3 linked regions of the Sus scrofa genome follow. Each later gene encodes a partner of the first gene's protein in a complex. Links are inferred from orthologs where the notes say so. Each region holds a gene or a part of one and is shown in the gene's direction. Other genes may lie near its edges.

Region 1 (5,101 bases):
GGAAAAAAAAAAAAAGTGCATGCACCATCTTCTCTGGCGCTGGCTACACAGCTGATCTCTACAGCAGCCGGCCTGAGATTCAGATGTCTTCATGGGATCCACGACCAAAGTGTATTTATGGCTGATGCGGTTGCATTTTCCTAATTCTCAGAAAACAAGCAGGCAAATTAAACAGAAATAAATACAAGGGGCAGAATTTTATCTTGTTAAAATTTCTGCAAAACACCTACGCTTGTACCACAGTGTGCCAATTTAAAAATGTTGTCTATATCTTGGTCAATAGTATGTTTCCTACCTTTTGTATTTCAGCAAAATGAGATAAAAAATTGCATTTTTCCTATGAAGTGAATAAGGTTAAACATCTTTTATGTCTCTAGCCATTTTTCCATTGGGTTAATGGTCTCTTAAAGCAGATCTGGAGCAGCCACCATTAAAATTGAGAAGAGCAATATTAGAGTTCCCCCTGTGGCTCAGTGGGTTAAGGATCTGGTGTTGCTGCAAGCTGCAGCATAGGCTGCAGATGCAGCTCGCATCTGGTGTTGCTGTGGCTATGGCATAGGTTGGCATCTGCAGCTCTGATTCCATCCCTAGCCTAGGAACTTCTGTGTTCTACATGTGTGGCTGTAAAAAGGGGAGGGGGAAGGAGGAATATTTTTAGGACCTAGAAGTTCCCTGTGCATTTCTCAATTACTGCCCTCCAGCCCCATTATTAACCTGAGTTTTCTGTTAATAGTTTGCTGTCTACTGTCTAGCCCTCCCTCTTGAGCATGCCTAGAGTTTAACCATGCTTGTTCCTGATATCTGTGTATGTGGAAGCACACTGTATTTATTTAGGCTTTTTTTTTTTTTTTTTTTTTTTTTAGGGCCGCTCGCATATGAAAGTTCCCAGGCTAGGGGTCGAATCAGAGCTGCAGCTGCCGGTCTACTCCACAGCCACAGCAATGCTGGATCCTTAACCCACTGAGCGAGGCCAGGGATCGAATATGCATCCTCATGGTTACTAAGTCGGGTTCATTACTGCTGAGCCCCAACGGGAACTCCCCATTTTTATTTTTTTGTACTTTGTCAGGTATTTTTGGTGAGATGGATCCATGTTGCTGACATGTCCCTGTAGTGATGGCGGTGCATGCTGTTGTGGTATTTTCATACAGTGGAATACAGTCCTTTATCCAATCTACCCTTGATGGACATAATGTGGCTGTGAGCTTTCTTTTGTACTTTCTCCTGAAAGTGTTTCTTCTAGATGGAAAGATAAGCATATGCAAAAGTTTACTAGGTAATGGCAAATTGTTTTCCAAAGTTGCTGTGCCATTTTTCACTCCTGTCAGCAGTACATGAGTTACCTGATAGCCTCCTCTGTATCTGTTAATGTCAGCCGTGTTCATTTCTGCCAGTCTGGTGGCTGTGTAAGAGTGTCTTGTGTTCTAGCTAATTTTCCCCCTGGTTCCTAATAGGATTGAGTATCCTTTCAGATGTCTGTTCGCCATTCGTGCATTTTAAAAATAACATACCTGTTGAAGACATTAGCCTGTCTTTTCCTACGATGGGGGTTGGGGGTGTGTGTGTGTGCCCATGGGATGTAGAAATTCCTGGGCCAGGGATTGAACCCATGCCACAGCAGTGACAACACCAGATCCTTAACCCACTGAGCCACCAAGGCACTCTCTTTTTTCCTACTTTTTTTTTTCTTCTTTCCTAGGCTAGGGGTCAAATCAGAGCTGCAGCTGCTGGCCTACACCACAGCCAGAGCATTGTGGGATCTTAGCCACATCTATGACCACAGCTTGCATCAACTCTGGATGCTTAACCCACTGAGTGAGGCCAGGGATTGAGCCCGAATTCCCATGGATAAGTTGGGTTCTTAACCTACTGAGCCACAATGGGAACCCCCCCTTTTTCCCCTACTTTACAAAATTGATTTGTAGGAGTTAAAAAATACATATATATAATACATAAACTATATAATATATAAAATATGTAGTATATATTACTATACTATCTCTATATATATTGAATCTAGCCCTTCGTTTATATGTGTGGTAGGTAACTTTCTCCAGTTAGTACCTTGTCTTCTCATTCTCCCTGTGGGGCTCTCAATTTTAAAACATCTCCTGTCTTGGTTCCCTTTTTAAGAACGCCAGTCTGAGCTGCCAACTCAAAGTAAAGCCAGCTTCCCCAGCATTCTCAGTGACCCAGACCCGGATTCTTCGAATTCTGGATTCGACAGCTCGGTTGCCTCTCAGATCACGGAAGCTTTAGTCAGTGGACCAAAGCCACCTATTGAAAGTAGGTATATCTAATTTAATATGCTTTTTCTTTTTTGGTCTTTTTGTCTTTTCAGGGCCACACCTGCGGCATATGGAGGTTCCCAGGCTAGGGGTCCATTCGGAGCTGTAGCTGCCAGCCTACATCACAGCTCACAGCAATGCTGGATCTTTAACTCACTGATTGAGGCCAGGGATCAAACCCACATACTCATGGATTCTACTTGGGTTGGTTAACCACTGAGCCAAGATGGGAACTCCTAATTTAATATTCTTGATTTTATTCTATCAGCATCCCCTGAGACTTTCTGGTTTTCTTTTTTTTTTTTTTTTTTTGTCTTTTGTCCTTTTAGGGCCATATCCACAGCATATGGAGGTTTCCAGGCTAGGGGTCAATCAGGGATGTTGCTGCTGGCCTACACCAGAGCCACAGCAACACCAGATCCAAGCCGAGTCTGCGACCTACACCACAGCTCACAGCAACACCGATCCTCAACCCACCGAGTGAGGTCAGGGATCAATTGAACCCACAACCTCATGGTTCCTAATCAGGTTTGTCTCCACTGCACCATGCTGGGAACTCCAAGACTTTGTGGTTTTCTGAAACATTGTTACTTTCGTTGATGCTTAAATGTCAATTTAATGAGAAACTTACTAGTATAGTGTCTGGAACATAGTAGAATGCTCAGTAAAAGCTAGTTTCTTCTTTAATAAAAATAACCAAGTTTTTATTACATACCTATCATCAGGACACCTGAAAATAAAATTCTCTGATTTTATTGAAGTTAAGTTTACTTTGTACCTTTAGATTTTGTTTTGGTTTGGTTTTGGTTTTTTGTTTGGTTTTTATGGACGGCCACATCTAGGGAACTCCCTGTTTGGTTTCTTTTTGGCCACAGCCGCCACAGATGGAAGTCTCTGGGCCAGGAATTGAACCTGAGCTAAAGCAGTGACAACGCTGGATCCTTAACCTGCTGAGCCACCAGGAAACTCCTGTACCTTTAGTTTTGTACCTCTTTATTAATCTTATCACTATCTTCTCCATTGAAGTTTTACTTAGAGCTCTTAATTTAAAGAAAACACCTATTGAATTTGAAATAATAGCTACACTTTTTTTTTTTTTTTTTTTGGTTTTATAGGCATCTATGAGGTTCTGATGAAGGCATGCTTTCTGCTTAGGGATAAGAACATGTTCTCCAGACTATAGTGTTATCTTGAGTTTAAAACTCCTACTGTAGGAGTTCCCGTCGTGGCACAGTGGTTAACGAATCCGACTAGGAACCATAAGGTTGCGGGTTCGGTCCCTGCCCTTGCTCAGTGGGTTAACGATCCGGCATTGCCGTGAGCTGTGGTGTAGGTCGCAGACGTGACTTGGATCCCGCGTTGCTGTGGCTCTGGTGTAGGCCGGTGGCTACAGCTCCAATTGGACCCCTAGCCTGGGAATCTCCATATGCCGCAGGAGCGGCCCAAGAAATAGCAAAAAGACAAAAAAATAAAATAAAAATAAAAAATAAAACTCCTACTGTGACTTTCATGTCCTGTACAGTAGTTCTTTGGAATAAATGGGCTTAAAATTTGAAGTTTCAATGTGCAGGAAGGACCACGGTGCAGGCGAGTGTGTCCAGGCATAGCTTGGACTTGATGGGCCACCAGGAGGGTATGTAAGAGGCAAACCAGTCAGGTAGTAGGTGAGTAGCTGAACACGGGGCATCCCTACCTTAGAGGAAATTCCTCCTTTATCACATAAGTGGTACTTCTCCGGAAATGGTTAAAAACATACTTTCTGTAAATGGTTTGTAGAGATTCAAGTGCCAGTTCTGGTGATGTATGTGAAGAAATAGTGTACTTTAAAAGGGATGATTTTTTTTTTTTTGGAATCTATTTACTCTTTTTTTTGGCTGCACCTGTGGCTTGTGGAAGTTCTCAGACCAGAGATTTAAATGGTATTTTTTTTTAACTGAAGTAGTTGATTTACAATGTTGTGTTAATTTCTGCTGTACAGCAGTGTGATTCAGTTATACATGTGGGTACATTCTGTTTCATACTCCTTCCTTCCTCTCTTCCTCTCTCCCCCAACGGGAACTTCTGCAGTCAGATTCTTAACCCACTGTGCCACAGCAGGAACTCCTCATATTCTCTGCCGTTACGGTTTTGATAGGATGTTGAATACAGCTCCCTGTACTCTACAGTAGGTCCTTGTTGGTTATCCATCCTGTATAGACTAGTTTGCATCTGTTAATCCCAAGCTCCCAATCCTCTCCCTCTCCACTCCGTCCCCCTGGCAACCACAAGTCTGTTCTTTATTTCTTTGAGTCTGTTTCTGTTTCATAGATAAGTGCATTTGTGTCGTATTTTAGATTCCACATATGTGATATCATATGATATTTGTCTTAATCTGCTTATTCCACTCAGTATGATCATCTCTAGGTCCATCCATGTTGCTGCACATGGCATTATTTCATTCTTTTTATGGCTGAGTAGTATTCCATTGTGTATATACCACGTCTTTAGCCACTCCTGTCAGTGGACATTTAGGTTGCTTCCATGTCTTGGCTATTGTGCATAGTGCTCCAATGAACATAGGGGGATGCATATATCCTTTTGAATTATGTTTTTCTCCAGATAGATGCCCAGGAGTGGGGTTGCTGGATCACATGTAAACTCAAAATCTTTTTTGAGGAGACTCCAGACTCAAAAAAAATTTTCCATTGTGGCTGCACCAACTTACACTCCCACCGAAAGAGGTTTTCCTTTTTTCCACAATAAAGGGGTGATTCTTAGCCAGAAAACGGACATTTTCAGTAAACTAGAGTATATACAAATGTCAGATTCAGCAG
Region 2 (5,101 bases), on another chromosome or scaffold:
CCTGACTTTCAAGCAGAGAATTTTTCTTCTAAATTAGAGGGTGTGTCAGTAAGAGTTCCAGGGTTAGGACATGGGGTAATTGAAGAGAGTTTTAGTTAAGCTGTTTCCAAAAGTGTGTGCTGGGACAAAACAGTGAATGCTGCAGTACTTAGGACAGTTGGGAAGCCTTCCCCACCCCCATACCTGAGGTGAAAGTGGCAGGAGCTCTTGTCAGAACTTGAAAAAAGTAGTTGTGAGAAGAGGGCCTGTAATAGGAGTGATGGATTTGAATTGTGATGCAGTCAATCTCTAGCAAACCAACAAAAAGGGAGCCCAAGGAATATATATTCCTCCTTCACTCTGCTCCTGTCCTATGAACTCTTGCCACTGCTCCGTATTCACCAGTCCAGCTAGAGGGTCTGCAGTCGATGCAAGTCAAGGTCCGCCTCCAGTGACATGGGCTGCAGTGGAGAGACTGGAAGAGGCAAGCAGAAAGTTTCAGTACAGGTAGCCATCCAGTTTAATAGTTGGAAACTTTGAAGTGAATTCATTAAGTTATACTTGAACACTGATATTAGGTACAGAAGAGTGACCAAAATTATCTCAGAATTTCACATTACTTTTTGAGCTCCACTTAACTACTTTATGTCCTAACTTAAATTGTTTTTGATCTGTATCTTAAGATACTAAATTCAAAGGTAAAAACAGTAAAGTATTGCTGTTTTGCTATTACCAATGCATATTCTAAATTTTGTATATTTGCAGTGAGCTATTTTAAATTATTTAAAGTAACCATTCAACATAAATATAAGATGACCCAAATGCCCTCAATTGTAAATATTAATAAAATTCTCAAATCTAGAAAGCCTCTTTTCCTTTTCTTCTTAGCAAATAAATACTGAAATTGTCCTTTCACAAATATTTGTCTTGAGCCTCTAGCTAGCCTTGCTGACACCTTAACCATGTCCTTCTTTTTTAATTCTTTCTTTGAGTGATTTGCTCTCAAGCACAAGTTTCCCCATCTCATTTGATTTGTTTAAACCAGTCAACATCATAGTACGGTGTGCCGACTGGAGCCAGGCTATCAGGGCTGGATGCTGGATCTACCACGTAGGAGCTATGCAATCTGTGACTAAGTTCTTCATTTTTAAATGAAAGGATAATCATTTTATCTCCTTTATAGAATTATTTGTGAGGTTTAAGTGTTTAAAGCTCTTACAACAGTGCCTGGCATATAGTAAATGCTAGATAAACCATAGCTGCTTTCCAGCTATTCACAATATTGATGTTGCACTCACCATTTATTCATTATATGTTGCTGTCATCCCTGGTCGCAGAAAGAGGTGACTGACAGTGCTCACTAATAATCAACATAAGAAGGGTATTTTTTTTTTCATTTTTACTTGCTATTCATTATATTCATTATATTCATTGGAAGCAGTGTACTTTTTTTGAATGCTTCTACTCTCTTCAGCTTTTTATTATTACTGTTATTTTATTTTTTAAATTATATTTTTAAGGCTGTACCTGCAGCATACGGAAGTTCCTGGGCTAGGAGTCAATTCGGGACTATAGCTGGGGCCTGTGCCACAGCCAGAGCAACACCAGTTCTGAACTGCCCCTGCAATCTATGCCGCAGCTTGTGCAGTATGGGATCCTTAACCCACTGATTGAGGCCAGGGATGGGACCTACATCTTCATGGACCCTATGTCAAGTTCTTAACCCTTTGAGCCACAACAGGAACTCCCTCTCTTCAGTTTTTTAGATACATCTAATATTTTTGACCAAGTGGTATACCTCATGCCCTGTTTAGTTTCATACTGAAAAAATTCACTGTAGCTCAAAACAAAAAAGTAATGCCACCTAGTACTGCAACTAGACATTGCAATGTCTATTTTTGTCATCAGCAATTTTTTGTTTTGTTTTGTTTTTAGCTACACCCATGGCATGCATAAAATCTTAAGCCAGGGATAGAACCTGCACCACAGCAGTGACCTGAGCCACTGCAGTGACCCTAGCCATTGCAGTGACAGCTCTGGATCCTTAGCCACAAAGGAACTCCTATTGTCAGTGATTTAAAAAAATTTTTATTGCATATGTTATATTTTACGTGTTCTGAAAGTGGTTGATTGACTGCATAGAATTGGTGAAATACTAAAGAGGTAGTGGTTGGGCTAATACTCTAAAAATGTTTAGGGTTAAGACCTTCTTGGTGAATCCCACTCTAGACCCTAGGAATCATCTTCAGCTTGAAGAACCATTAGGAAAACTGAAGATATTTCTGGGTGATCCTGATATTTTTGTTTTGAAATAGGCAAATACCCTTCAGTTCGAATCACAGGAAATTGTTGATTTTTGATTTTTTTTTAACATTAACGACAAAAAGGCAGTTTCATATGTAAAGGTGCAGTGTGATGAAACCACTCTGAACCTGGTGTGAGCACTTGGCAGCACATTTTGGCCATGAGGTCTTCTGTAAGCTCTAAATGCTGAAAGGCAGTGTTTCTTCCTTCTTTATTTTTCTAGGTGTTGTGGAATATTTAAGCAATGGAGGAGTAGCTGACAACCATAAAGACTTCAAGGAACTAAGGTACAATGAGTGTCTTATGAACTTCAGCTGCAATGGAAAGAATGGAAGCTCAGAAGGGAGAATCACACATGGCTTCCAACTGAAGAGCGCCTATGAAAATAACTTGATGCCTTACACCAATTACACCTTTGATTTCAAAGTGAGTGACAGCCCCTGGGCTGACATAGAAATTATTTCAAATGCAAACATGTGACAAGAAAGGTATATGTTATTTATGCTCAATTGTATAATCTTCAGGAATTTTTAGATTCTCAAAATGTCTTGGCTGAGTGTGCACTGAAATATAAGGAGATTTGTTAGGTTTTGTGGTTTTTATTGTTGACTTGAAAAATTTTAACCCTCATTTGGTCAAATTTCATATTGCTGTGTGTGTGCCAGGCACTGTTCAAAGGCACTTTATATTTATTAATGTAGTCAATATTCACTTGTCCATACCATCCCTAACTTTCAGTAAGGATCTGAAGCATAAGCAGCTTGATATAGATAGCTAAACTCACCATGAATGACATTGTATCGTATTCCCTCAAAATTCTGTTAGGACTTTCCATTATATCTTACTTATTTCAAAAATTTCCAGTTTTCTTTGGGAGATAGAATGAGAGAGGGTTGTACTTAGGGTCTGTTTTACATCCATATTGTCATACTAATATATTTGTAGGCAGTAGACCACTCCAGCTTGATAAAAGGACAAGAAAGATTTTTCTTTATAAAATAAGATAAAAACAGAGGGCCAGTTGTTCTTTTGAAACATTGATTGGTAGTGGTTTTCTGCAGTTATTAGTCCCTTTCCCTTTGCCACTTTTCTGATCACCCTGTCTGCCTATAGCTTTCCTGCTGTACCTTTGTTTGACTTTGTAGCATTTCAGGCATCTATACTAAAATCTTATACTGTCCTAAAAAAATGCAGATGGTAGAAAGTGGTTAAGAGTAAGAAGCCTAGAGAGAATTTAATAAAATACAAAAGGAAATTTATGAAATGGGCCCTTATACATCTCTGGAAACCTTTTTCCATTTTCAATGCTTGTTAGCCTCTTCCCAAGAAACAGTAGGAAGAAGATAGGAAATTCATGTGCCGATGTTATTGGTCAGTTTTTATAAGAAAGAAGTGGGAAAAAATGTTTAGAAATTGAATCTAGTTTTAGTATTTTTGCTGTAAGAGTAGATAATACTATTCAGAGATAATTTATTTTGTTCAGATGATTCATGTGCAGAAATGTGCTGATAAATATTTAATAACTAGCTTTTTGAGAAAGAAGAAGCCTAAATTTATAGTGTTGGCTGATTTCTGTGGTACAGGTACTCTCATTGTGGTAGATTTCAAGCTCCCAACATAATACCATTGAACACAGAATTGGGATGAAGTGCTAAGAAAGCAGATCCTAGCTGACTATCACACCCCTGCCCCTGTGTAAGCTTAAAGGAAAACCTCTGGATTTCACGATACACAGTTTACTATAGGTTAAGCTGTATACACCGGTATGTAATACATCTCTGCGAACACAACCCACAACCTAAAAAAAAGTTCCTTAAAGTAAGTGTTCAGTGATTCTACAACTCTTGTTGTTTTGGTACATGTGTAGGAAAAAGACCAGGTCACTTCTACCTTAACTAGGCTTCTATACAGGTTATTTTATCCATAAAGTCAATATTGGGAAAAAAAAATTTGGAATATTAATCTAAGCTATCTTATTTCCTCAGACATCTCATTTGCTTTAAAATCTTTTGTTGATGTTTCCTCAAAAGATTTTATATGTGTTAATAATTGAATAAAACATCCTAATGAACCATTTATATTGTCTGAAGAAGTACAGTGAAAGAACCAAAAGTACATGGCTCAGGGAGTGTTTGCTATTTGCATATGTAGGATAGGATGAGAAAGGACAGAACTACAAACCTGTGTGAGAGGGTCATGAATGGGAAGATAAATACACTGGCTGGCTGGGTAGATGGACAGGAAGCTGAAATAAGATGGGAAAGAAGGATGATCAGAACAAACTAAGGGTATCCCTGCCTAGAGAGAGAATTAAGCTTTTAGTCCAAGTAACCCACAGTAAGCTTTTCAGTTTCTTACTAAGCATTTTATGTGCTGTACCAATATTGAAGGGACTTGGTTAAAAAGGATAGGTAGCATCAAATATATAAATGTCTTGTGGGGAGTTCTCTTGTGGTGCAGCGGGTTAAAGATCCGGTGTTATCGCTGCAACAGCTTGGGTTGCTGCTGTGGTGCAGGTTTGATCCCTGGCCTGGTTACTTTTATATGCTATGGGCTCAGCCAACAAGTAAAAAAATTAAAATGTCATGTGGGTATGGAGTTCCTGTTGTGGCGCAGCAGAAACGAATCTGACTGGGAACCATGAGGTTGTGGGTTCGATCTCTGACCTTGCTCAGGGGGCTAGGGATCCAGTGTGGCTGTGGCTGTGGCTATGGCTGTGGCGTATGCCAGCAACTACAGCTCCGATTTGACCCCTAGCCTGGAACCTCCATATGCAGCGGGTACACCACTGAAAAGCAAAAGCAAAAAAAAAAAAAAA
Region 3 (4,490 bases), on another chromosome or scaffold:
TATCTAACTTGATATCAGTTCAGATGAGGTGTTCCGTCTCTCCTCTTTCAATTTAATTGACACTGTACTCCTTGAGAACCAAATGTGCTTTGTCACCAGCCATTTTTTAATTTCTAAAATATATTTTATATACCTTTGTACACAATTAATGGATTACAAAATGGAACTTTTCCTTAATGATTCTCCTCATTTTTATTATCAATGATTGTTTTGGGCTTGTGTTCATCTGTCCTTTTTCTCCACTTTTTTTTTTTTTTTTTTTTTTGCATTTCTGCTCTCTTATATCCTAGTTTTGCATTTCTAACCTTGTGGAAAAAATAATCATTCAGGTTAAATTATCTGTTAGAATAGTGTGAGTATTGTGTTAACCGGTTCTTAATTTTGGAGAGGAGGGTTGTTTGGACTCCTTTGAGAAACAGTTGAAAACTGACAGTTTTGTTTTGTTTTTTCAGTTTGACTTTGGAGAATCCATTGTACTGTAGATAATGATTTAACCGTGGGAACAGATGAGTATATAGAGTTGAAGAGAGACCAAAGTAGACTCTGGGGGAAAACTAACATGTAAATGATAGTAACCAGAGAGAAGGAAAACTGGGATAGTATGGAAACTTAAATGCCAAGGAAAGAAAGGTTTTCTGGGGGAAAAAGGAGTGAGTGTTAAGCTTCATAAAGATACCGATGGAGTTGTTTCACTGGAGAGCTGGTCAGAGAAACTAGAATATGATGAGTTGAAGAATAATGAGCAATGAGATAGGAAAAACCAACTTTTAGATTCTTATTTCAAGCAGATTGTTTGAAGAAGAGGTGAGGGTGATAACCAAAAGATGGAAAAGATTAGGGTTGTTGTTGTTTTTTCTCTTGTTCCTATTACTGATATAAAGTTAGGAAGAAGACACTTGAATGCACCTAAATGCTTTTGCCTGTGAAGGAGAGGCTGAAGTTATAGGAAGAGAGAAGCAAACCGAGAGTAACTTAGCCGTGTGCCAGATGCTGTGTGCCTGGGTGCTTTTGAGAGTATGGAGAGCAGAGATCTGGTGGGAGAGATAAGTCTCAACCACACAGATGAGTGTATAGTTACACCTTGCCGTGTGCATTAGCAAGGGGAGAGAATCAGAGGTGGTAGGTGCTATTAAGTGAGTAATTCATACAGGATTCAGGAAGGTTTGAGTAAAGTGATTAAACTTGGCAATTGAAAGTTAAGAAGCAATTGGCCAGATCACAAGTATTCCAGACAAGAAGGGACAGCATAGCATGTTGGAAGCCCTGGGGCAGGAAAGAGCTTGGCATCTGTAGGGAATGTACCCCCACTTCACCACCACCATGACCATGGCCCCCACCCAGAATAAGCACTGGTATAGCAGTGGGATAATGAGCAAGGAAAGGTGTCACAAATTAAATTAGGAAAGAGAAGCAGAGGCCATAACAAGAAGGATTCTTTAGGTTGCCTTAGAGATTCTGAAAAGATCCAGATGGGAGGAAGAATGATTATCGTCCCTAAACTTTCTTCATTCTGACTTTGGGGCACCATTTGGTTTATATAGTACTGCCTTTTCCTGTGGGCTAAGTTTCTTTGTTTATCCAACATGACTGTAAGGATATGTCTTGGAAAGTCTCAGTATTTCAGTGTTATCTTATGTGGGTCCTTGTCTTTTTTTTTTTTTTTTTTTTCTTTTTGCCTTCTGTTTTTCAGGGTATAATTGACTACATCTTCTATTCTAAACCTCAGCTGAACACTTTAGGCATCCTGGGACCTCTGGACCACCATTGGCTAGTTGAGAATAATATCAGCGGCTGCCCACACCCACTCATCCCCTCCGACCACTTCTCACTTTTTGCACAACTGGAGCTCTTACTGCCTTTCCTGCCCCAAGTTAACGGCATTCATCTTCCTGGCAGGAGGTAGTCAAGTACCTTCAGAGGATGACCTCAATTTCACTCATAAACTCATAAAATAATCTGAATATAGGGGAGTGAGGTATGGCCACCAGGGATTTTTTTGTTTTTCTTAATGATGATTTGAGTTTTCAATCTGATTATTTGATAAGGATATAGTATGAAAGCCAGGTGCTAGCAACAGACAAATTCTGAGCCCAATATGCTTTATATACTGTTAGACAGGGATTGGTGTGTTTGCACCTATCTTTAAATTGTTACAAGTAATTTTCCTGTTTCTTCTGTCCAATATAATATTTTCATGCCTTGAAATAGGAAAATGTTGGAACAGCATATTCTCTTTGCACAGAAATCTGTAGCACTACTTTTTTGAGGCCAGTAATAACATCCAGAGACCATCCTTCCATACTTTACTCCCTCCTTTTTCAGACTTGTTTGTAAAATAGAGAATTTGAATTTAGCCTTTATGATTGTATATGCTCCACAGAAGACCTGATTTATGAAATTTTGTACTAAAAAATCAGATTTGGAAATGATTGTATTGTAATCTAAGGCTAAGTTGTTTTTGTTTTTTTTTTTAACCTGTTTCATGTGTTATAAAGGCCAGCTTGTAAAAGAAGTTGCAACAGACTTTCTCTGCTGATGATTTGCACTGTTAGGGTTTAGTTAGCCCTTTTGTACTACTTCTTTTTTAAATCGAGAACATTGCTCTTTAAATCTAAATCTGTTTAAAGCTTAGGACATTTTCTTGAACCAGAGGCAACTTACCCATGAATTCCTGGGGTTTAATATCTATCAGGATAGATAAGCTGAGCAGTGAATGATCTGTAGGCATTTATGGATTTGAATGTAATGCTTGATATATGTACATTCTGGTATTTTAAAATCTTTAACTTTTTTAAGTTAAAAAATTACAGCTGCTTAAGTACAGCTTCTTAACTCCTTTTTTGAGATACTTCCTGTACTATCTCCACTGTGCCTGCCTGAATTTGTTCTCACCAAGCACTGCCTGTGCATGCAGAGAAAATCTGTGCATCCTCTTTTATATTTTTAAAAATACTGTTTTAACATTTGTGAGAGTTTTATGAAAATGCTTTTTGTATGAGCTGTGGCTTTTTTTCGATTGTGAAGCATTGAATATCACATTTTGGAACATGTTCATAGGGTGGGTCCCTGGGTCTTTGCTCACCAGACCCAAGCACTGCTTCTTGGTGTCATTGCACAGTGCTGTTCGTCACCCAGAATACTACTATCATGTGAATTCTTTTTGTTTTCCATGTATTCCTTAGTCTCCATGTTTTTTTTTTAATCATTCCTTTTTTTAAAAAAGTAATTTTCCGTTTATGAAGCAGTATAAAATAAATGAAATGTATTTTCAAAACAGGTCCCTAAGACAATACTTCAGATCATTTTTAAGTGACTAAGTCATTTTAATATGTCAACCAAGCTAAAAGTTATATACCCTGTATTTTGCCCATAGTGCCATTAGTAGAATAGAGATTAAAGCCAGCTTTTTAACTTTGCAACGTTAACTTGTATATGTTCTGTTTTCATTTATTCATTTGTCTCTCAAAAATCAAATGAATTCAGAAGGAACTTGGTCTAACTGCTTTTGTTTCAACTGCAGGCAGGGGAGCAAAAGGACACCATGTATGTGAGCATTAAGAAAAGAAATTGTTGAATGTTAATAGCAATTTTTATACAGAGAATGAGTCATTTTGGATAATGACTTAAAATTTTATGAAAAATGTTCAGCACTTAAATGTGCTTATTCTGTTTTTAAGAGAAAATAAAATTCCATACTGTTTAAGTAAATGAATCTTTTTGTTTTTGTTTTTAAAAATTCTCCAGAAAGTTTTGATCTTGAATCTTTGTCTGGGACCTGGTTTTTCCTTTGAGTTTTGTTTTTTTGTGTGTATGTGTGTGGATTTTTTTTTTTTTATTTTGTTGTGACGTTTTTTGTTTTTGTTTTTGCTTTTTAAGTTGTGCTGACACCAAACACATCCAGTTTATAATCAGTACATTGGAAAGCTGGTAATATTGATATAGAACCAATGCATAACTTTTTATGGGGTTTCTGGGGGTTTTGGTTTTGTTTTGTTTTGTTTTGTAAAGTGTGAATAAAAGGTGTGTTTACTCATTTTCCCTAAACACTGTGTTGGTAATGTGCATCATGACAATTTCCAGAACGGGCAAGCTGGATCTGGTTGGACTGATGAGACCGTTTTACCTACATTATGTAATAACAGGTCCAGAAAGCTTTATGAAAGGGAGAGGGGAGAAGCACTTACTCATTTTGTATTTTTTAATGGAGGATTGTATTCTTATCATAGATACTGGAACTAGAGTGCACTTGTTAGATGCTAAAGGTTTGAGCTTTACACAGGATGTTTTCATCTGTTTTTGTTATTACCTACAGTATATTTGAATTTAGGGTAAGCATAGTAAGATATAGTGGCCTGTTATGTCTTGAAAATGTTTGTTCTTGCCTCTTCTAGGTGTACTACATTCTGTGGGTTAGTTTGAACAGCTTCTCCGAGAAGCCTTATTCAGTAGCGATAAATTAAACCAAGACTTACTTACAAATGTAACCTACA

What was found. Proteins that work in one complex are often made in the same cells at the same time.
Region 2: CNOT11 (region 1) and CNOT6L share a complex: the UniProt entries of both Homo sapiens proteins name them as parts of the CCR4-NOT complex. The link is inferred for Sus scrofa from reciprocal best matches to the Homo sapiens genes CNOT11 and CNOT6L.
Region 3: CNOT11 (region 1) and CNOT6 share a complex: the UniProt entries of both Homo sapiens proteins name them as parts of the CCR4-NOT complex. The link is inferred for Sus scrofa from reciprocal best matches to the Homo sapiens genes CNOT11 and CNOT6.

What each region holds. Positions count from the first base shown.
Region 1 is NC_010445.4:53,070,523-53,075,623, reverse strand, and holds part of CNOT11 (CCR4-NOT transcription complex subunit 11), read left to right. Parts: intron 1-2,133; coding exon 2,134-2,286; intron 2,287-5,101. UniProt on the Homo sapiens protein: Component of the CCR4-NOT complex which is one of the major cellular mRNA deadenylases and is linked to various cellular processes including bulk mRNA degradation, miRNA-mediated repression, translational repression during translational initiation and general transcription regulation.
Region 2 is NC_010450.4:73,202,858-73,207,958, reverse strand, and holds part of CNOT6L (CCR4-NOT transcription complex subunit 6-like), read left to right. Parts: intron 1-2,506; coding exon 2,507-2,709; intron 2,710-5,101. UniProt on the Homo sapiens protein: Has 3'-5' poly(A) exoribonuclease activity for synthetic poly(A) RNA substrate.
Region 3 is NC_010444.4:78,132,974-78,137,463, reverse strand, and holds part of CNOT6 (CCR4-NOT transcription complex subunit 6), read left to right. Parts: intron 1-1,690; coding exon 1,691-1,903; 3' UTR 1,904-4,490. UniProt on the Homo sapiens protein: Poly(A) nuclease with 3'-5' RNase activity.